Tamandua tetradactyla: one gene and its partners. The protein of the gene in region 2 interacts with the protein of the main gene of each other region in a pairwise test. Links are inferred from orthologs where the notes say so. Each region holds a gene or a part of one and is shown on either strand. Other genes may lie near its edges.

Region 1 (7,791 bases), on a different chromosome or scaffold from region 2:
CCTTCAGGAACTGGTCAATCTGTACCACCTCCCTGGGCCCGGAGCAGTCTCTTACCCACTGCTTCTGCCTGGCTGCCCACCCACCCTCTGCCGAAAGACCTTGGCCTGGGGGTAGAGACTCTGAACATGGCTGTGTGCAGCTGTCTGCACCTGGTCACCTAGGCATGTGCACACCAGCCCAGGCACACTGGGCACAAGACATTGTCACACCCAGAAAGGCTCACTCACATGGCTGCCTCATCCAGCCAGCAAGACGCACAGTAAGAGCCCCCTGCTCCCCATAGTTGTACTGCCACACACAGCCACTGCCTCCCACCAGAAACACTGCCGGGTACACACGGTCACACATCCAGGCCCACCCAGCTCTCTACCATACCTAGACACATCCACTGCACATTCAGAATGCATGTGCTCAGTCAGATGTGCTCAGTCACACAATCTCCCAACATAGAAACACTCACAGGTGTGTACTCAGAGTCACATAGCCACACACATGTACCCATCCACCCCACCCTCCAACAAAGCCCAATGCACAACTCCATGGGCAGCCCCACACACTCACACACGTGTAGCCATACTGCAGTCTTTCTTGGGTATGCCCCTTTGAGTGTGGGGCTCAAAGGCATTCAAATATGCTCAGACATTTTTTCAGCCATATACAAGCATTCAAAAATCCACGTTAGGTCACATCAACCCAGAGAGAAAGACTCGCAGATGCAGAGGCACGCACCAGCCTCCAAGAGTTACAGGAAAACATGGGACATGACAGAGCTGAGTGAGTATTCACTCCCAAGTGCATTCGTACTTGTTCCTTCAACATTTACTCAACACTGTGGCCGGGTGAGCTGTGTCTCCACCCCCAAAATTATGTCCATGTCCAAACCCCCCATACTTATGAATGCAACCTTATTTGCAAACAGTCTTTCCAGTTATACTGAAGTTTAGACTCTCAGGATGAAATCACCCTGGACATAGGGTAGGCCCTAAATGTCCTTAGAAGGGAGATCTGAGACACATAGGGAAGGCCAAGTAAAGACAGAGGCAGAGGTTGCAGTGACGCAGCGACAAGCCACGGATTGTTGGTAGCAATCAGAGCTAAGAGAGTGGCATAGGAAGGATTCTCTCTCAGAGCCTCGAGATGGAACCAGGCCTGTCAACACCTTGATTTCAGACTTTTGGCCTCTAGAAGTGTGAAAGAACAAATTTCTGTTGTTCTAATTTCAAAATTCTGTTGTTCTAGTTTGCGGTACTCTGTTATGGCAACCACAGGAAACCAGTTCCTGTGCCTTCTAGGCAACAGGTACTGTTCTAAGTGTTAGGGACACAGCAGCAAAGAAAATAGAGAACAATTCCTGCCCCATGGAGCTTATATCACACTGGGGACAGATAACACCTCCATGTTTCACAACTCCTACGTTTAAGTGCTAGAGAAATGAGGAAGAACCAGCAAAGACAACTGTGAAGGAGCAGACAGAAAAATAGGAGGAGGAAAACCCAGGAGAGCATCCTGGAACCCAAGTGAATGGGATTCAAGGGTCAGCTGTATCCAATGTAAGATGGTGATGTGGCCTCATTGTTGATGTCAAGGACAGTGGTGGAGGCAAAACCTGATTAGGATGGATTGAAAAAAGAGTGGAAGGAAAGAAACCATAGACAAGGAGTGTAAATAATACTTTTAAGGAGGAGAGACATAGGCCAGTAGTTTAAGGGGATAGTGGGGCTAAGACAGATGGGAAAAAAGACATCACGTGGGCATGTTTTTAGGAATAATATGGCAGACAGGGAAAATCTGATGATGGACAAGAGGGGGAAGAGTTGAGCCAAGTCACTGAGTCCGCTAAGGAAAATAAGATCTGGTGCACAAACGCAGGGGTTGTCTTTGGCTGGGATGACAGCAAAGGAAAAGAAACAGTCTTCCCGGACTGCCACAGACTCACTCTTCGCTTAGCACACACTTCCATTACAAGCTCACCGCCACAGCTTCCATATTCCAAAGCCCTGGTCTCAGGCACAGACATACCCACTCACTGCCAACACGCAGCCCCGCTCACGGTGGGGGTGGCACAGTGACAGACACAGACGCTCACTCAGAAACACTCACGGGCCACCCCCAAAGGCCCGGCGGCCCCACTCACTGCTGCTTGCGGCTGAGCTCCTGCTCTTTGTGCACCAGGTCCTGCTTGAGCGAGGCCAGCAACTCCACGCTCACGTCCACCTGGCGCGAGAGCTCAGAAGCGCGCTCCTCCAGCTCCTCCTTCTCCCGTCCGAGCCGCGCGCTCTCCTGTCGCGCCGTCTCCAACTCGGCGGCCTTGCGCTCCAGTTCAGCCTGGAGCCGGCCCACCTGGCCCGCGATCTTCTGCTCCACCTCCTCGCTCAGCCGCTCCAACCGCCGGTCCACTTCCAGCTTCTCCAGCGCGCGGATCTTGAGGCGCGCCAGGCCCTCCTCGTACGCCACGTCGGCAGGAGACGGGGACGCGGGCGACGCGGAGGCGGGCCCGGAACAAGGGCCGGGCCCGGGCCCGGGCGGCGGCGTCGAGCACGCTGAGGACGCCACGGACTTGCGCGCGAACAGCTCCCCCAGCGGGATCTCGATCTCACGCAGCGCGTACCGCGCGGCGGCGGGCACAAGGCCCGGCTCGGCCAGCTCCTCACAGGGTAGGCCGGCGGGCACTAGGTCGCCGGGGAAGTGGGCGAGGGGCGCGTGGTGGTGGTGGTGGTGGTGCAGCAGGTGAGGCGCTGCAGCCGACGGCCCGGCCACCTGCTCCTTGCCCTGGAAGGACGTGCTTTCGAAGACCTCGCGCCGGGCGCCAGGCACAGCCAGCAGGGCGGCGGGCTCGGGCGCCAGCGGGAAGCCGGAGGCGGCCGCGGCCGTGCCGTCGCAGATGCTGTTGGTCTTGGAGAGGATGTAGAGCGTCTCGTACGTGTGGCTGTACTCCAGGTGAGCGCGCAGCGACGACAGGCTCCGGAAGCGCTTGTGCTCCCCGCAGCGCGGGCAGCGGTAGGGTAGGTCCAGCGAGGCCATGGCCCCGCCGCCCCCTCTGCGCCCGGGCTCCACGGCGGCCGCCCCTCCGGTCAGCTGGGCGCGCTCATGTGGGGCCGCCGGGGAGCCCCACTGCGGGGCCGGAAAGGCTCAGGGCGCCCGCGGCCGGGGGCAAGGAGGCTGGAAGAGAGAGGATGAGTCTTAGGAGGGTGGGGTCGCAGCTTCCCCCACAAGCCCCCGTCCCCATCTGCGGTGAGGATATTGACCTTCCAGGAAATACGTGCTCAGAATGGAGGAATTAGGGGAGACTAAAGGTCTGACCTCCCATAGGGGGCTGGCCTGTTCAGGTACCTCAGCGAGGGCCTATACATGTGCGAGAGTAAGATTTCCTAAAAAGAAGCATTAGTTCTACTTACAATAGTTCCAATCTGGAAGCAACGGGAGAATGGATAAATTGTGGTAGATTTATAATAGAATTCTACTCAGTAATGAGAAAAGGTACATGCCACAAAATGGATGAATCCATTTGATATTAGGTTGCATGAAATCTGCCTGACCAAAGAGTGTATATAGGATTCCAGCACCCAGAACTGATGATGACAAGAGTCAGAATAGTTTACCCCTGGAGGCTATGGGACTGGGAAGGGGCAATGCTGAGGATGTTCTGTATCTTGACCTGAGTGAGTTATACAGGTGGATGCATATGTAAACAGTCATCAAGCTGTACACTTAAGTTAGTGCACTATATAGTAGTACACTTAAGTTAGTATGTTATATGGTATCTGACTGGATATTTGTTACACCTCAAAAGAAATCCTTAAAAAGAGGATGCTTATTTCCATCTGGTGCAAACCACATCCATCACACAGCCTGGACTATTGGTACCATGTTGTAAGTAAGATGCCACCCCACCCACCCCTGCCATGACCTCTGTGCATGTGTCACTGCCTGGTCCCTGCTTCTGCACCACACCCTCCCATCCCTGCCACTTCAGGGACCTAAATCCTTTTCTCTGATCTCTTCGATATGTGGTTCACCAATAAATGTCCCTACCCTGCCCTTTGCCCCAAGGGCTCATTATCTATCCTCCCCAGACCCCTTTTGGCACAAGCCACCAACCCACCCAGGCCTTCCCACCCCTCATCAACCCCCAACCCCTGCTGTCCAGCCCTTCCATCTTTGACTTCCAGCCTCCCCTCTCCTGCCTTGAGGGCTCTCTACACTTGTCCTCACTGCCCTCCTCTTCCTAACAGCTGCCATTGGACTTCACTCTCTACTGTGACCTTGGGGTCACAGATTACCTGTTCATCAGCGAATCCAGTTGTCATCTAAGGTCTCTGCCCACTTTGTCCCTTGGTTGACACTTTTGACCCCTCCATCTTCACAGGGTGCTGTGATGCTGCCTCGTTTTAGGTTCTTCTCTTGGTTCTCCCCAAAATTCCTGCCTCCTGATGGGGGTCTTCACTGAGGTCTGCCTTCATGCCTCCTCTGCCTCAGTCCTCTCTTCAGGCAGTCTGTCCACTCACAGCTCTAAGCCCATGACTCCAGTGCTGTCTCTCCATCCTTACCTACTCCTCAGTTCCATTTGCCTTCTGCTCATTCCACGTGGATGGATGGGTGGGACAGCTGCTCCCTTTGCCAGCCTGGCACCTGCTCCTGGTGATAGCATCCTGCTTTGACCTTGGAGAACCATCCTTCTTTCCCTACTTTCTCAGTCCACATCAGCCAGGGTCCACTCCTGGCTCCAGGGGTAAAAACATGACATAGGTCTGGCCAATTAGAGTCCTGAGATGGGTGAACCCTGTCTTCAGCAGCAAAGCAAGTGATTAAACTGTCTCCCACTGCCTCTGTGTTCAGACCATGTACCTACCAGAGCTGGAACTTTAGGGGACTTGTAGAAAAATGCAGGAATGTTGGGGTATGGACTTTTCATGACCTTCAGTAATGTCCTACAAGAAGGAGACTCTCTGGCCGTAGGCGCCCATCTGAGAGAGAGAAGAAGAAGCTCTGGCTTTGTCTAGAGAGGCCCTTTCTGCCTGAGGCCAGTAACCCAATAGGGCTGAGAATCAGGTAATTAAGAGCCAGATCTCTTCTCCAAGCTAAAGTCAGCTCAAGCAAGGACTAGGAGGCTGGAAACACAGAGGGAGATAAGCTTGGGGCCTAACAGGCGCCTGACTCCTTAGCAGCCCCCACCAACCCCTCCTGCTGTACCTTCCCAGTGGCCTCTATTATAAAAGCCTTCTGCTGGGATGTAGCTTGAGGGGTAGGGCCCAGGGAGCTCCCCATCCAAGACTATGGGTGTGCATTACTTAGCGACAGGGGACCAGTGAGAGGCCACACAGCTAAAGGCTCCTGGGAGGTGGGTGGAAGCCTGTTGCTAAGAGATGACCCTTCCTCCTGCCCCCAAGCCACCCCTTGATACAAGAATTACAACTTTCAGTGACCAAATGTAAATTGACTGAAAGCTTCTAATGTTTAAGCGAATTAATATTGCCAGGAAAGAAACCCAAACCTGGAAAACAAAGACCAGGGGTACTCCATCCCTGGACCTCACCAGAACCCACACCAGTAGGAGGTGACCCCTCAGTGGCCCTTCACACTCACCCAACCAGGCTCACCCAACCACTCTGCTCTTCGGGAGTCTCCTTTGTCCATCGTCCTGGGTGCCACATGTGGGAGGATCACTGCAGGGTCCTTCCCTGGGCATTTTGTTTAGCAGGACCTGGTCTATGATATGTACCTGTGACCTCTGAGGCTTCTTTTTCCCTATCTTCCCTCTTCAATTTTGGAGGTTTTTTTTTTTTTTTTTTTAAGGAATGGACAAGTAAATATTTATTTCTATGGATGTGGAATGGCAGTCATAATATATTAGGAAAAAACGAGCCTAATAAAAGGGGTTTATCACTGAACACCAGGCACCGTAAATAAGGGGTTCACACCTTTGGGTTTTGTTTTTTTCAGTTATCCTACTTTTCCTCCATCATTGTAATCTGGTCATAACCAAAAGACTAAGAGGGTCTAGTTTAGCACCTAATCAAAGAGCAGGTCAGTCATACTAATTCTGAGATCTCAGGCTTGGGCTGGGTGTGGTAACTGGGTGGGGACCTGGAACCCCTCCCTCTGGAGATGGGATTTAATGTGCTTTAATCTTGGGGGCGATAATTGCTTTATGTGAAATGGAAGGAAGGGGGTAGGTATGTGTAGCTCTCAAGGAGCAAAGAGGTGAATTGTAGTGGGTATTGGATGATATTGCTGCCTGGCTTCAGTCCCTTTCTGTGTAGAGATCCCTGGTTTTCCTTTAGATTCCCCTGACTTTCAACCTATGTTGTTTGGTTTGGGCCAACAACCTCCATCTTTGGTTCCCTGATGGGCATGTCACCCCTTGTCTGGGCCAGTGCCTGCCACCCCAGGACATGTGCTAGGCAGGTGGGATGTGCTCCTGAAGCACAACAGAAGAAGAAGTGATACCATTTGAGTACCCAGATCCAGATGTGCCTTAAGCTATAACCCAGGACTTCTCAGTTATGCAAGGCAGCAAATGCTTTTTGTTGCGTAAATCCTTTGAGTCTGTTGCCAGTCACAAGCAAATGAGAATCTTGATTAACACAAGGACCCAGTGTCAAAAAATAAATCCTGGACTTCCTCTCACTCACACCCCCTCCCAGGATCCCTGTTTCTTTCAGTGGGGCTGCTGACCTCCCTGCCACACAACATCACTGGCCATCTGGAGTTTCTCTCTGTGTTGACCAGCAAAGCCTGAGGACTTTGCCTTCAGAATACTTCAACAGAACTATTTTTTTCTCTTATGCTTCGTGCTGTTCTGGGCCATTGCCTCCCCACACCTGGGTTGCTGGCTCCACATTCCGCCTCATGGCTCTGTTCCATCCTTCTTTAGGCACGAGAGCCTTCTTTTTGCAAATGATTCCAGCTCAGACTCCCTCAGTGGTGCCCACTGTCCATCAACTGCACCCAAACTCCTGGGCCTCACGACTTGACCTCAGTGTACTGGTGCCAACTGGAAGGCGAATAACGGCCAGACTGTTTCACCTGTCTTTCTTTGATTACTATGTGAAAGGTTTAGGAGGCAAAAGGGTGAAAAAGAAGAAAAGTAGACCAGGAAATTTAAAGTGAGCGAGTTTATTTCTGCGCTCCCGGGTAGAGCTCACCGCATCCAAGATGGAGAGAGGTGAGTCCGCACATGGGCTTCAGCGCGGGCAGCTTTTAAGGATGGGGGTCAGGTAACATCCGGAAGGGGCGGTTCATTAGTTCCGGAAGTCAGGTTGGGAAGGGTGACACAGCCTCTGCAGCTCCAGTTGCAGTGCCTTTCCCCGTTCCCCCGACCTAGCACTATGGTTAGACATTTTTGCAAATATTTATCTGTCATTTGCATCTTTGTGGTGACTTACCTTTGCACTGCTTTATTTTTATACCGAGTATTCATATTTTCTCATTGTTTTGCAAAGGCTTTTTTCAGTATTGATCCTTTGTTTCTCATTTATATATTGCAGGTATTTTTCTTAAATTTGTTGACTGGCTTTTAATTCTGTTTATGGTCTTTATTGATATGCTAAAGTTGTAAAGTTTGCTTCAGTAAAATTTATTGATCTTCTCCTGAATGATGTCTGATTTTGTTGTCAGGCTTAGAAAGTCTGCCACTAATCAGAGATTATATAAACAGCTACATATGTTTGTCTGCAGTACTTTGTGTACTTTTGGTACTTCCCCTTTATACATTTTAATTTCCAACCCACTAGAAATTTTGGTGTGCACAGTAAGACAGGGATTTAAAAACAAAGTCTTCATTATGGAAA
Region 2 (7,913 bases):
CGACCAAGAAGGCTTTCTCAAACCTTCAGGTCCTGGCTCATCCAGGAGTTCTGTCCCACGATATCAGAGAGATTTACACCCCTGGGAGTCATGTCTCACATTAGGGGGAAGGGCAGTGGTTCACCCGCTGAGTTGTCTGTGGCCTATCTTCCCACAATTAATTATTTCAGTAAAATAATATTAATCAAGCACTTGCTGAGGACTGGGAAGTAATTTAGGTATCAGACATGCAAAAACAACTAAGAGAGGTCTTAGTTAGTCAAGTGGGGAATTGGGACCCATGAACAAATTATTACTAAATGTGGTGGGTGCTACAATGGGGCAGTCCAAAGTGCTATGGGAATGAATTGGAAGGAGGGACTTCTTTGGTCTAGATGGGGTAGGAAATGTCTCAGAAGAAGTGGCAATGGAGCATCATTGAAAGTGAAATGAAGGAACTTAACAGATGGAAAAGTAAGGAAAGGTCATTCTTGGCAGAGGCAAAGCCATGAGAAAAGGCACTGAGGGACGAGTCCCTATGGTCTTACAGAGAACGGCAAGCAGTGCCCAGTGGCTGAGGCTGGCAGCTGGGGGCAGATTGGGACAACTCTTTTGATTGTTGGAATAAGATGCTCAGATGTTATCCTGAGAGCAGCAATGAGCCTCAAAGCTTTTAAGCTAAGGAGTGGCACTGTGTCACCTATGTTTCAGGAAGAGAGGTCTGCAGGTCAGTTGTGGGATGAATTGGAGAAGAGAGAAACTGGAGGAGGTTAAACATGTTAAGAATCTCTTGAGAAACCCAAGTGAAAGATAACACAGACTTGAGCTAGGAGGTGGCAGTGAGAACTATCTTAGTGGTGGAAGTGAGAGGACTTGGAGCTTGATCAGATGCAGGGAGGGAGAGAGAGGAAGGGTTGACGATGACTGAGGCATTGGATGATTCTATTAAATCAATCAGCAAATATTTATAAAACATGAGGCACTTCCGGACAGGCTTGGTGGGAAAGGTGATGGCGTCAGTGTTGGGCATGTCCAACTCGAGGACTGCGCATATCATCCAGGAGCTGCCTCTCTGCCCTGGCTTCACAGTCTCCCTGCGTCATAAACGAGATGACTGGGCTGAGGTCTCTGAGGGCTGGATTTGGGCAAGAAGGAATGAGGTTAAGATCATCAAGCTCCAGGTAAAGAATTGAAAGTAAATAAGATAGGATTTCTGGGCATGAAAATGAACTTCCACATTTTCAAATACTTCTACCAAATGTCTGATGAGTGGGTGTTCACTTCCCTACCTGTCATGCCCACTCACATTTACATAAAACATACACACACACACATCAGAAAAAAAAATGCAGTCCTTCAGTGGGTCAGCCCTCCAGTCCAGTAGGTGAGCCATAAAGTATCTCTACCTGGGTTCCTCTGGGAATCTTTTTTGGGTAGAACCGCCCTTCCCCTCCCAGCTCTACCCACCACTCAGATAGCTAGATGGACAACAATCCAGTAATGCTACAATTTACATCTATGCATTTCTTTCTAATTTCCAACTACTGTTGTTCTCATTTGAGACTCAAAACCATCCTATGAGGTATTGTCATCCCCACTATCTAAATAAGGAAACTGAGATTCAGAGAAATTTAATGACCAGAAAATAAATCTCCTAACTGTATATAGAACAATTTCCATTGCCGCAGGATGAAATGAGAGGAGTAAATACAGATGAAGATTGAAATTACCCTGAATGGAAAGCATCACTGTTTTCTTCTCACTCAACCCCTTCCAAACACCAGCTCAATCTTCCCTTCCCCTGTCTCCATTTCCTGTTTCAAAATGAGCTAGGCTGAGCCAACCATGTCTCACCAAAGCCAGGGACTGCAGAGGAACCTATGGGTCAGCAGAGAGCAACTCGGAGCATCAGAGTCACAGGGAAGATCTAAATGCAAACAGATTTGTGTCTAAACTGAAAAGGAAGAAACAGAAGTGCAGTCACATCTTTTTTGCAGCCAGCCAACACGTGGAGCTGCTGTGGCTTCCGGGAGGGGAAGTAGGACAACACAGCACCCAGTCATTTCCTGCCCTTTGTCCAGTTGCTAATCTGAGTTTTGGACAATCCTGTGGGGCTCAGAGGGGGAGGGGACACCAACCTTCAACTGCTTCTGGTTGCTCAGCAGACACTCCCGCAGCACAGGCTCGTATTTCTTGATCAGGGTGTCCCAACCGACATCATCCCCCAAGGGGCTGTCCTCGCAGGCAGAAGAGCCAGGCAACAAAGAATCCAGGGAACAAGGGGAGGCAGCATCCGTGTCTAATAAAGAGAGCGTCTCACACTCCGGCCTGGGGCTGCTCTGTGCAGTCTGGGCAGAGTCTGCCAGGCCCCAAGTAGCCTTGAGATCGAATGGCTGAAAGAGAAGTGGAGGGTCCTCTTGGGGCCTCTCCGAGCCGGCAGCTTGGGCTTTCATCTCCTCGGAGCCCTGGCGAGGTGCCTCGGCCTCCTTCGATGGAGGGCAGCCTTCTGCCTCTCCACGTTCCCCAGCGGAGTCAAGGCAGAGCCTTATGAAGCTAAAGCTCGAGGTAAAGACCTCATGAGAGCTGAAAGGGGCCAAGGGGGCCTTAGGGCCACTTCCCCAGCTGCGGCTGTTGCTCTTCGCTCCCTTTGGAGCCAGAGAGCTTGCTGCCCCAGCACCCCTCACTCCTTCACCATAGGCTGCATCCCGAGTAGGGCCTGGGACGTCAGAACTCTTCATGGATGGAAACTCTCCCTGACACCCAGAGTCCCCAGGGCTGCAAGACCTGGTTAGCCAGTTGGGAGGTTTGGTACCAGCTCTGAGCTGAATTTCAAAGCGCCCTGAGGTTTCTCCTCCTGGGGTCAGAGCCATAGGTATCCCAGCTGGGGCCGCAGTGCTTCCAAGTGAGGGGTCTGGCCACTGGCTTCCAGAGTCCCGGCTGCCCTGTCCAGCCTGGAGCTCAGAGTGTTGGTGCTCCCCGCCGCATGCCACTCCCTGGGCACCAAATAGCATGCCAACCACCGGGGAGAGACATCCAACCCGGGGTCCAGCCGTGGTTCTCAGGTAGCCTGGCCTCCTTGCCAGCCGCGTCTTCCCAAAGGATGCTGCAGGTGGTAAGCCATCCTGGCTGCCTGAGAAAAGAAAGAGGACATGGCACCATAAACATTCAACCCTCACAGGCTCAGCTGCAACAGCTTCTGGAGAACAACCCCAAGTTCAGGGTGCTCTCTCCCTGCACACCCCTGGGGTTGACTGCCAAAAACAGACAGATGCTGGCTCACAGCTTTGAGGGGCCTGGGTCAGTGTTTGCCTTGGAACATGCAGAAAGGAACATGGCATCTCGGCTCCCCTGCCTCCCAGGGCCGCTGGCAATGCTGTAAATTATGCCAACAGGTCAGCATGAAAATTGGAGGCACAAACTTGGCTGCTCCTTCTGAACCCTCTGCAAATCAGCACTTTCATCCCAGAGTGGGCCTGGAAAGCAAGTGATTTGAAACCGGAAAGCCACAACCATGAGTCAATCATTTATTGTAGCTACTCCTCTGTGAATTTCAATGATTCCTCGTTGCCTGGCTGTGATCACAGCTGCATTGCATATGCCTCTCAATTCATCTGGTAGATTGCAGGAGAGCCCCGGGTGGTGGGTTCTCTAGAGCAGAGGCTGTGTGACACTCTCAGCTAGAGGACAGGAATGGTATTGACAAATGCTGACACCTGATAGAGGTAGTACAGTGGAGCAGTTGACAGCAAAGACTCTGGCACTGCATTACCTGGTTCAAACCGGGGCTGCACCACTTGCTAGCTGGGTGACCTTCAGCAAGCTTTCTTTACCTCTCTGTGCCTCAGTTTCCTTATCCGTAAAATGGAGATTTTAACAGTACCTTGTTCTTTAAAGAGTGTTAAACTAAATGAGTTAATACATGTAGAGAGCTTAGAACAATGCCTGGTACACGTAAGTGTTAAAAAAAAGTGTTAGTTTTTATTTTTACATTGCATTGTACCTTACTAGCCATATAGCATTTTCACCTACATTAAATTCATTTGCTCCTGCCCATGCCATGTGAATCAATCAATTCATGGTTGTGTGGATGAGCCAGCTCAAGTGCATAAAAGTAAGACAAGAGTTCACTGAACACAACTCTAGTTAGACAATAGCCTGCAGCAAGAAGTGGGACAGAGCTTCACTCCATGTCCAAAATCCTTCCCTCTGCCTGTTAGAGCATACACAAACCCAGGGTCTTTGTCAGGTTTAGACATTTAACCATGGTGCTGCACAAGTGCCTGGATGGATGTCAATGATAATCCTGTACTTTGCCACCTGGAAATATAAGCATTATAGCACACAACCACCCACTCCCTGACTTTGAGCATTTGGAGATGAGATGACCCAAAATATATTCACCCAGTGACCTGCTCTCTGCTAAATGGGGTATGCCAACTTCTGGGGACCCCAGGAAGAGTGATACTTCCCAGTATACACTGGCTTTCTGGAAGCTTGCAGTTTTGCTTTGCTAATGGCTGCTGAAACACAATATACCAGAAAGAGAAGAGCTTTTAAAAAGGGAATTTATTATGTTACAAGTTTACAAGTTGAAGGCCATAAAAATATCCAAACTAAGGCATCCAGAGAACGGTACCTTGACTCAAGAAAGGCCAATGTCTGTCACATGGAAAGGCACATGGCTGGCATCTGTTGGTCCTTATTCCCTGGTTCCATTGCTTCTAACTTCTGATGCAGTGGTTTCCTCTCTAAGTGTCTGTGGGTCTTCAGTTAACTCTTCCAGGGCACAACTGTGGATTTAGCATCTCATGGGAAAGCCCATGGTGATGTCTACTGGGCTCTGTATCTCCAAACATCCATGTCTAGGCATCGGCACTCCAAGCATCTCCAAATATCCGCATCTGTGGGCTCTAAAGCAATTGTGTCTCCTGGGGCTTCTGCATTTCCAAACGTGTGCATCTGCATCTGAGGTTTTTCCAAAATGTTCTTCCTTTTAAAGGACTCTAGTAAACTAATCAAGACCCACTTTGAATAGGCGGAGTCACATCTCCATCTAACCAAAAGGCCACAGCCACACTTGGGTGTATGGAAACAGTCCAATCAAAGTTTCCCACCCTAAAGAACAGGTCTGGCCCACAAGATTGGATCGGGATTAAAGTCTGGCTTTTCTGGGATACATAATCGTTTCGCACTGGCACACTTGCAGTGAAGGGAGGAATGAAAATAGTTTTAGCCAGGAAGGAAGTAAGAGGAAAACAGGTAAAGGAAGGGAGGGAAACAGTACAGGAGCTAGACCTGGGAGACAGGCCCCGTTCTCATTTTATAGACAATAAAATCAAAGCCAAGAAAGCTTTAATTTGCCCCTGAATTCTCAGATAACAGACTAGCAGAGCCTGGTTTTGAAGAAAGGCCCATCTAATCCCAAAGTAAATGCTCCTTCTACTTTACCTCCTACTCTATCAATTGGGATGATAACTTAAAATGACAGGATGGCAGATGTTTTTTCTTTTTTCTTCATGACAGAGTCCAAAGGAAGAACAGCAGAGAAGGATATGATGAAAATGTACAGAGGGAATAATTAATAAGCCAAATGGGGTGTCTATGCACTGTGGTCCGACAGGGAGTTCCCACGTCCTCTTTGCCAAGTATGTCATCCTAGGGAGACACGACGTGCCCTGCCGTGTCTGGGACCCACCAGCAGGAAGAGCAGGAGGAAGAGGCTGTGGGAGGAGAGAGGGTCCACAAGGACTAATTCTTGTCTCCCCTATAAAACTGGCAAAATATTTTCTAATGAACAATGAGTCCAAAGGAAATAGAAAAGAATATTGAATTCTGGCTTCGATTGCTGAAGGAAAACAATTCAACAATTTCATATCATGAAAAATGAATCCAGTGAAATCTGTGTTGTCTTTTGGCTAAAAGCTAAAAGCTATCAGCACAATGCCGAGAGGAAAATAAATTCGTTTGCAATTTCATTTCTTTTAAAATGCCTGAAGGCACTTAACCAAGGGCATCTGAAACTCCCCCAGGCCAGGTTCCAGTCGCTTGCACAAAGCAGTTCCCCGATGGGACCCAACGCTTCTACTGAGGTTCGTGATCAGCAAGAAGCAATGAGCAACAGGCAGTGAGGACGAAAGTACAGGGTTTCTCAAAAGTGCGGGGTGGGGGCAGGCCATGATGACTCAGCAGGCAGAGTTCTTGCCTGCCCATGCAAAAAGATTTTAAAAAAAAGAAAAAAGTGGGGGGTTGAGAGGAGGAGGGCTCCATACACAGATGAGCCGCCTCCTGCACCCCACCTGAGCACTCATGCACCCCTCCCAGAAGCGGTCCCAAGAAGTGAGACCGGGGCAGCAGCAATCCTAACCCTCAGGAGCGTAGGAGAGGGCACGAGGGGCCACAGAGGGGCTGACAGAGCTGCGATCTGGAGGGGGCCTCTGCAGTGGGGCTGCTTCCCACCCCTCCACCTCAACCCCCTTTGGAAATTTAAGGCAGGACCCTGACCAGAAATAAATGATCACTTATATACCCTGCCTGAAATCTTGCCTCTTGGAGTGGTTGAAACACCAAGCCATCACACTCTGAAGTTAGGGAAGGTTATCATTTATTCAGATCTTAGAGAGAAAGATTCCTTCTTAACACCTAACCAGTATCAGCTCCGACGGAACCAAGGTTTCCAAAGAGCAGGAAGAAGAGCTTGGTAAGGGGGCGGCAACACCCGTACGGTGCAGGCAGTCTTGAAAATTTGCCTGGGAAACCACCCTTCTCTTCTCTGTAAAGCCCAGAGGTGGCCTTTGTTCGGTCTTTCCAGCCTGCAGAGGGTGACGGGGGAGAGGGGAGCCTCAAGCAGGCTGCTCGGTTCCTCGTGCTCTCCCACCCCACACCAGATTCTAGGCAGAGAAGCGCAGACGTTCTCCTTCCCGTCCATTATCGCAGACCAGCTGCGGGTCCCTGTTGACACGCACTCCCCACCCCGCCCCTTCGCCCGCCCCGGGAGTCCTGAAATTGAAGGGAAGGAAGGACAAGAGCCTGGGATAGATGCAGACGACAAAGGTCCTCTCCGTACAGTGCAGAGAGGGCGCCCGGAAGTAACCGTTTACCTGGCTTAGGGGAAAAAGTGGGGGAAACCTATATTAATCAGCCAGATCAGAAAGAATTCTGCCTGTCTCTAATACTCTCCCTTTCTTCTGCCCAAACCCTTCCCACCCTGCAGCTTCCAATTCTTTTCCCCATCAGCTACCTTTTCCCGATGTGCCGGTCTGAATCTGTGGTGGACCCCAGAAAGGCCACGCCCTTTGACCCTCATTCAGTATTGCTGGGTGGGAGCATTTTGATTGTTTCCATGAAGATGTGACCCACCCAATTGTGAGTGGTAACTGTTGATTAGATGATGTCCATGGAGGTGTGTCTCCACCCACTGAAGGTGCAGTTGCTTGCTGGACTCCTTTAAAAGAGGAAACATTTTGGAGAGAGTCCCTTTTTTGGTAGAGCCACGTGAAAGCCAGCAGGTGTCACCGTGTTCACCATATGCCCTTCCAGCTGAGAGAGAAACGCTGAACGTTGTCAGCCTTCTTGAACCAAGGTATCTTTCCCTGGATGCCTTAAATTGGACATTTCTATAGACTTGTTTTAATTGGGACATTTTCTTGTCCTTAGAACTGTAAACTAGCAACTCATTAAATTCCCCTTGTTAAAAGTCATTCCATTTCTGGTGTATTGCATTCCGGCAGCTAGCAAACTAGAACACCTGATCACCCAGTTCGCAGGCCCTCAGCCCTCCAACCCCATCACTCGAGGGGAGCCAAATGCTCATTTCCCCCATTTATTATTAATACCTAGTACGGTTACTTTCTTTGATATATATGAGTTGTTTCCAATTTATACTCTCTATATATATTACGCTGCCTGAGGGTCGTATACCCCCAGAAAGTCTAACA
Region 3 (7,373 bases), about 94 Mb from region 2:
TTCAGACTACTTTAGCTCATTTAAATAATATTCTCAACTAAAGTCTACATCATGTGTAAATGATAAAACTAACAGGTCTCACTAAATAATAAAGTATAATGATTATTTTATGGTCCCTAAAATTTATTTTTATATCATTGTTTGAGGCACTTCATTAGGAAACTTAATCTGAACTACTATATTAACACAAAATACAACTAAAAATACATGTGGGTATCATTTGGTAAAAATAACCCTGGTAAATTTTTATTAACCTCCTACTATAAAGACCAAGATATGCTTTACAATTTTATAGAAAAAAAACTGTTATATCATTCCCACAAAACATTTTCTTGCATTTTTCTCATTACTGCTGATGAAATTAATTCAGGTCATTTTAAAAATATTCACCACTTCCTAATTTTCTTAGTCTCTCTATAACAGTAATATTGGCTAGTGAGTGCCAGAGAAGCATACATCTTCTTCCAGCACAAATTTATTCTTCCATAAAATATTCATAAAATATTTACAGCATGCCCACTAGATGTTAGGCTTTGTGCTAGACTTTGGATGCAAAATAAATTAAGACCTAATCCTTGCCTAAAGATCTCATGGTATACTAAGGCAAAAGACAACTGTATCAAGTTTATTATGTAGGGTAAATGCAATGACACAGGGTTATTCCTGGAAGAATTTTTTAAATCAAGCAAAATGGTCAGGTAACTGTTACACTCCATTTTATTACGTCTGTCCCCTTAATCAAGGAGGCGATGACTTCACACTGGCTGGTTTGCACTTCTCTGACTTGGCAAAGCAATGATGACAGGTGTAGACTCTGAGAATTACAATCATCATGCTGTTTCCTGACTTCAAAAGTTTTAGCATCACTAAATTTAAACATGGCAGCCTAAAATCTTCTCTATTTTGGAAAATATAAACATATAGATGTTTTGTTAAGAATATACATAGATGGTAAGAAAAATCATAAAATTTACAGCCTGATGCACAAGAACGGGATTTCTAATTGGGGTATTTACTGTATGTACCATATTTCTTTTTTGGCATTTAGGCATCAGAATTAAAAAACATAAATGTTTACCATATTGTGTAAATATGCTAAGAAAGCAAGTTGATTAGATATGTCATAAATCATGTCTTTTAACTGTAACAACACAAAAGAAGACCTAGCTTTTCTGCTAAGGAAAAAAATAGTTTGAGTACATTACTAAAGAAAGGTTTTTGATATTTTTTTATATCAAATGAGAAATAACATTTGAAACACCAATAAGTGCCTAAAAATAAAGACTTGCCTCACAGAAAAGCAGAGTGTACATTTAAATTTATAACCGGTTACTTGCCTCAGAATCAGATAAAACAGCCTGAGTTCCTTAAATAATATGTGTATTGTATTGACAAGAAATTAAAGCATAATGACTAATTTCTTAGACGGTCTTCAAAAGAAGCCAAACGCACAAAGACTAAAGAAGGCAAGTGTTAATACACGGCCTATTTGTGATACTATGTTTTTATAAATACAATTGTTTCAACCCAAGAGCCTCATGTGAAAGCAAGGCTACCCATGTAAGCAGGTGTTTTGATATATAACACTCTTTCAGACCATTTGTAGGTGAGCTATATTTTCTCTGGTCAGGGTGACCTCATAACTCTTGGGCATGGCCCGGCCTCACTCCTAGGTGAATACAAGGCAGCAAGCATCACCCTAGGAAAACTGTTGTGTGTTTTCTCCCCTGCAGCCTGATGACAAGAATGACTAAAGCCAAGAGGAATGAAGATTGCCCAGCCTTTGCAAAATAGGATTGCTAAGGAGTTCTCCTAAAAACAGTACCCTCTCTCCCCAAGGAGGAGTTACATTCAGCAGAAAGCTAAGGTACCATAAATCCTACATGCTGAAATTGTGGTTCCTCACACAAACCCACTCACCACCTTTGTGGACTATGGGATTGCCACTGAAACCTGGGCTGGATATAACAGCAGTTTTGAGAAGTTGGATTGATACATTCCAACCCAGCTGAATGTGGCTTTAGTCCTGGTACTTGAAGGCTCTTATGAATCTTCCTCCCCCACAGCCCAAACAACCACTGCCTCCCAAATTCCAGTTTATACATTCATTTCCTAGGCAATTTTTCTCTTGGTGGTAAGACAATGGACCCTTTCAGTTTTCTCTCATCAACAAAGGGCTCTAAGATGAAGAAACAAGTCTTTTCAATCACATCCTTTCCGACTTCAAAAAATGATGAGCGGGGACTGGGGGCGGGGAAGCGGGGGCCGAGGAGGGGAGAGGTGACAGACAACTCACCTCTTTCAACTGCTCGAGCTCCTGTTTGAGACTGTCGTACTCAGCCTCCAGCTCATCATACTGCTGTTTGAGGGTCAGCTTCTCTTCCAGCACCACCAGCCCGTACTCGGCAGCCTGGATCTTCTCGTGGGTCGTCTCCGTGAGCTCCTTAGTCAGCCTCTCTATCTCAGTCTTATAATGGTCCACCGTCTGCACTACCTCTTCTGCGGCCATAGCCCTGGTCGATGGAGGCAGGAGGGCAAGTAAAAGCAAGCGGGGGATGGAAATGGGGGAGGGGGTAAAAATGGAAAAGAAAAAGTGTGGCCCGATGAATGGGTGCCCTGACTGCTCCTCGGGCAGCAGCAGCTACACTGCCCGAGAAACTGACAAGAAATGCAACATGGAGAACGCAGGGGAAGAATCGGGGGCGAGCAGGCAGCCGCTGCCGCCGGCGTCCTCTGGGCCGGCACCGGCGTGCGGTCAGTAGCCGTGCGGCATGGCCTGGGCTGCGGCGGCCGGGGGCAGCGAGGGGCTCCGGATTCTGCTTATTCAGAGGCGCCGGGCCGCCATGTCTCCCGGGTAGCGTCACTGCAGTCTCCCCTCTCGGTCTGGCGCGCTCCGGCTGGTCGCTCGCTTGCTCGCTCTTCCCACCTGCTCCCTGTAGCCCTGCTGCAGCCTGTGCGGAATGATGCAGTCTTGGGGCCCGCTCCCTCCCTTCCCGCCTGGCCCCGGCTCCAAGCAGGGGGCGGGGAGGCGGATGGAGTCAGCGCGGGGGGAGGAGGGAAGGACCAGACGGAAACATCCCGAGGCACCTCCCGCCGGGCACACGGGGCCGCGGGGCGGCACCAAGGGGCGCGCAGCGCGGAGGCGGCGGGATGGAGCCCGGGAAGCGGCGCGGCCTCCGCTCGGCCCGCCCGGGGCTGGAGTTCCTCCCCAGGGCTTTGATCCCGCGGAAGTCGGTCCTCACAAGACTGGCACGGGCGCCCCAGCTCTCTCGCTGCGACGTGCCCCGAAGCTCAGGACACTGCCTGGAATCCGCGCCTTCAGCAAAGAAAAGCAGTAATTAGCGCAGTCCCGGCCCGCGCTTTCTTCTTACCTCCAGGGCTCGCAGCATCCTTTCCCGGCCTCCTACAGCAAAACGAACACTGCTTCCAAAGCCTTCCAGACGCGCCCCAGGGCGCCCGCGCCCGCCCCTTGCCGCTTTCCTCTCCCTATCTTCCTCCGTTCCCTCTCGGCCTCTCCTGGTCCACCCCACACTCTCGCCAAACAACTTTATTATCCTTCAGGGCAGTCTTCGCTAAAGATTGATTTTCCTGGCCAAAGCTTTTCTATGCCCAGTTTATCCAACAAGATAACTATCAACCAGAAATATATTCCCATGCACTGGTTAACTTGTCGGTGCCCTTATTTCTTGCCCTGATAGATCTTAATTCGAAGTACCGTACTCCGTGGATTCTTCAATAAGGGAAAAATGCATGAAGGTGAAGAGAGTACTGAAATCCCCTATACATAAGGTATCAACAGTACTCTAGAATAAACATTATTATAATAATAAGAGCTAATAATTACTGAGGCTTACCATGTGACAGGCGTTCTTCTGAGTGATTCTCTCTAATCCTAACAACCCATTAAGGTAGTAACCATTATCCCCAATCTACAAATTTTTGGTGAAAGGAAGGGACTGGGAGATTCGGTGATTTGCCCGAAGTCAGGCAACTGCTAAGTAGAAACGCCACAATTTTAATCATAACTCCACAGCCCTAAACTGAACCTTAATAATGTGTAGTTCATCTTCACTCATAACTAATAGAAGCCCAGTAACTAAATATTGTAGGCTTTTAAGGAAACCGCATTACAAGTTAATCAACATGTAGAATGATGAGGGAGAGTCACAAAAGGAGGTAAAGGGGAAGTCAGAGCAGAAGAGAAGGAGTTGAGAAGAGATAATAGAGAACAACCAAGAGGGAAGGAAGTAATAGAGTGAAACGGGGAGGAAAGGAGGGATTTCTGAGTAACCGGAAGGCTATGGAATCCACAGAAGATGATTCTGACCAGTTCCCTTCAGCCCCACTAAGGAATAACAGTTATCGGAGGGCTATTTCTCAATGGCCAGGAGATGCCTCAAAACACACATGGGAGCTTTCTGAATCAGAAAGCAGTACTCAACTCTTCCATTATAAATATAAAGAAAAAGTAGTGGCTGATGGCTGGCGCAGGAGGAAGAGCAAATGTCAATGCCCTTTCAAAGTCTTCACTGACAGGCTTTCTAGATGTGATTTTCATTGCCTCAAAAAACAGACAAAAAGTTTCATTCTAAATACTAACAATCAGCAGAATATGTCCCTTGTGACTATGTGCTCTAAAAAAATAATTAAATAAAATGGAGAAAACACATGAAACATGTAACCACCATGAATTCCAAGCTCTCAGAGAAGCAGTAATGCCATTCACCACAACATTCCCCCAATATTTCTTTGATCTCACACTCCATTTGAAAAGCTCCTCCTGTAGCACCTGTCGACTGTCGCGCTGAAGAATATCATAAACTGCTGAAGAGATGAATCCTGTCATTGCAGGTAGCTAACCTGTCTTCTTCACAGTATGCCCGTGGCTATTCTTCACTCCACACAGATCTGAGAGGATCATAATACTCAGAATATTATGATTGTGTCTTCCTCTTCTTTGGATAGAATTAGGAATGCAGTTTCACTGTGACTTTCCTTTTTTTGAGTGTTCATTGCTGCCCATTCCCTGTGCTCTATCCTACCCCGATTTTCTTATATTTTGTTAATACATTCAGTCTGACTTTATTCAGACATCTACACTATTCTAACACTTTAAATTCTTGCTTTTTACAGCTTTGATACTTTATATGCTGATATTTAACTCAAAAAAGGCAAACTTATTTCCTTATATACCCCATTCTTCCAGTAGTACATAGTTAGGAGTTACATTTTCTCTCTTTCCTCATATTTTATATATATATAATATATATATATATATGTATGTATGTATGTATGTATTATGTGCCGGTTTGAAGCTCCAGAAAAGCCATGTCCTTTAATCCTCATTTGGTATTGCTGGGTGGAATCTTTTTTATTGTTTTCATGGTGATATGACCCACCCAATTGTGGGTGGTAACTTTTGATTAGATGGTTTCCATGGAGCTGTGTCTCCATCCATTCAAGAAGGGGTTACTCACTGGAGTCCTTTAAGAGGGAACCATTTTGGAAAAAGCTTGAGAGCCACCAGAACCAACAGAGCCCATGCAGCCAGAGACCTTTGGAGTAAAAGAAAAATACCCCCAGGAAAGCCTTAAGAAATGAGGAGAGAAAGTTAGCAGATGTCATCATGTGTTTTTCTAGCTGAGAGAGAAATCCAAAACGTCATCAGCCTTCTCAAGCCAAGTATCGTTCCCTGGATGCCTTAGATTGGACATTTTTATAGCCTTGCCTTAATTTGGACATTTTCACAGCCTTCAAACTGTAAACTGGCAACTTAATAAATTTCCTTTTTTAAAACCTGTTCCATTTCTGGTATATCGCATTCTGGCAGCTCTTTCAAACTGAAACTTATTATATATATAACAATTCAGTGACAGATATCTAGAAAACAATCTCTAAACCATTCCTAGAAGCAGGGTTCCATCATTTTTCTCTATTCTAATAGCCTCCAATTACTTACAGAATGTTCTTACTTGCAAATGTTTATTTAAACAAAATTGTATTTTGTGGCCTAGTACCTTAAGTCAATCTCTCACCATTTTAGTCTGCATAGATTCTTCTTTATCTTGCTGTCATTTATTCATTCATTAAACAGATGTTTATTATGTATCTATTATGTAGTAGGCATTATAGTAGGCATTTTGAAATCAATAACCAATAAGATGTTACTGGTTAATGGTCCCTGATCTCATGGAACTTATGTTCTGGGAGGGACACACAAAAAACAAGCAAAAAGACAACAAACAAACAAACCCAAACAGACAAATACATAAAATAATTACAAATTATAACATTAAAAGGCATGTTAGCATAGTGGTTACAAGTACAAGCCAGTCTTCTTGGGTGAAACTTACTTTGCCACCTAGCTCTTTGACCATAGTCAAGTTACTTAACGACTCTATGCCTCAGTTACCTCATTCTTCAAAAGGAGATAATCAGATAATCTACTAATGAGGTTGTTGTGAAGATTAAATGAGTTCACAGAATACTGCTATAACGGAAAAATAAGGATTTAAGGGATGATTTTGATTACTGAATCATATCCCTTTTTGCTTTCTGGAATATTGGAGTAGACAGGGGAATACCTGAAATTCCTAAACTGTAAGTCAGCTGCCCTGATATCTGAAATAGTGTAATAGCATTTGTCTCATGCCTTTGTAGCTTTGAGAGTTGTTACACCCTTTATTTGATCATTTTCTTGGAGGGCAAAGGCCCTAATGCTACTGAAGTCAGCCATTAACGAGCCTCAGCCCTGAACATTTGTAAATCATATCAGCTAGATTCTGCTTTTGAAAGATAACTTGTCTCCCTTCCTTTTGGCTTACACTTTTAGTACTAAAATAGTAGCTCTGCCTCCCCTCCTTTTAGTTTATCTTCTCCTATTGAAACGATAATAACATTGTCTCCTCTTCTGCTTTGAACTTACTGTTCGGAAAAAAACCTTGAACCTCCTAAACTCAGGGTGACAGATTTCGTGCTGCTAGGCCATCTGCTGTCCTACTACACACCTAGTAATAAAATCTTTCTCTCTTTGAAACCCCGATATCTCAGCAATTAGTTATTGAATGTATCGGACAAAAAAGTCCACTGCCTTTGTCCAGTAACACTGCCTGATACCCAATAAGCAGTATACATGTGTCTGTTTAAAAAACATTTCTGAAGATGAACAAGAATATGTTGAGATAGGTGAAATAAGATGATCAGTACAGACTTCTCTGAAGAAATGGTATTTATACTATTAACTAAGCACAAGAAGGAATTGGATATACAAAATATAGGGGAAGAGCTTTCCAGGAAAGGAGAAGAGAGTGTGTAAAAGACAATGACACGGTGCAAGGGTAGTTCAGAGATAGAATTCTTGCCTGCCACGCAGG

Evidence for each region.
Region 1: the proteins of DISC1 (region 2) and FBXO41 interact in a two-hybrid assay, tested with the Homo sapiens proteins (2 studies listed by BioGRID and IntAct). The link is inferred for Tamandua tetradactyla from reciprocal best matches to the Homo sapiens genes DISC1 and FBXO41.
Region 3: the proteins of DISC1 (region 2) and BICD1 interact in a two-hybrid assay, tested with the Homo sapiens proteins (2 studies listed by BioGRID and IntAct). The link is inferred for Tamandua tetradactyla from reciprocal best matches to the Homo sapiens genes DISC1 and BICD1.

What each region holds. Positions count from the first base shown.
Region 1 is NC_135343.1:46,914,381-46,922,171, forward strand, and holds the start of FBXO41 (F-box only protein 41), read right to left. Parts: upstream 3,023-7,791; coding exon 2,136-3,022; intron 33-2,135; coding exon 1-32. UniProt on the Homo sapiens protein: Substrate-recognition component of the SCF (SKP1-CUL1-F-box protein)-type E3 ubiquitin ligase complex.
Region 2 is NC_135333.1:1,469,669-1,477,581, reverse strand, and holds the start of DISC1 (disrupted in schizophrenia 1 protein), read right to left. Parts: upstream 3,101-7,913; 5' UTR 2,991-3,100; coding exon 2,118-2,990; intron 1-2,117. UniProt on the Homo sapiens protein: Involved in the regulation of multiple aspects of embryonic and adult neurogenesis. Required for neural progenitor proliferation in the ventrical/subventrical zone during embryonic brain development and in the adult dentate gyrus of the hippocampus.
Region 3 is NC_135333.1:95,344,236-95,351,608, reverse strand, and holds the start of BICD1 (protein bicaudal D homolog 1), read right to left. Parts: upstream 3,023-7,373; 5' UTR 2,510-3,022; coding exon 2,297-2,509; intron 1-2,296. UniProt on the Homo sapiens protein: Regulates coat complex coatomer protein I (COPI)-independent Golgi-endoplasmic reticulum transport by recruiting the dynein-dynactin motor complex.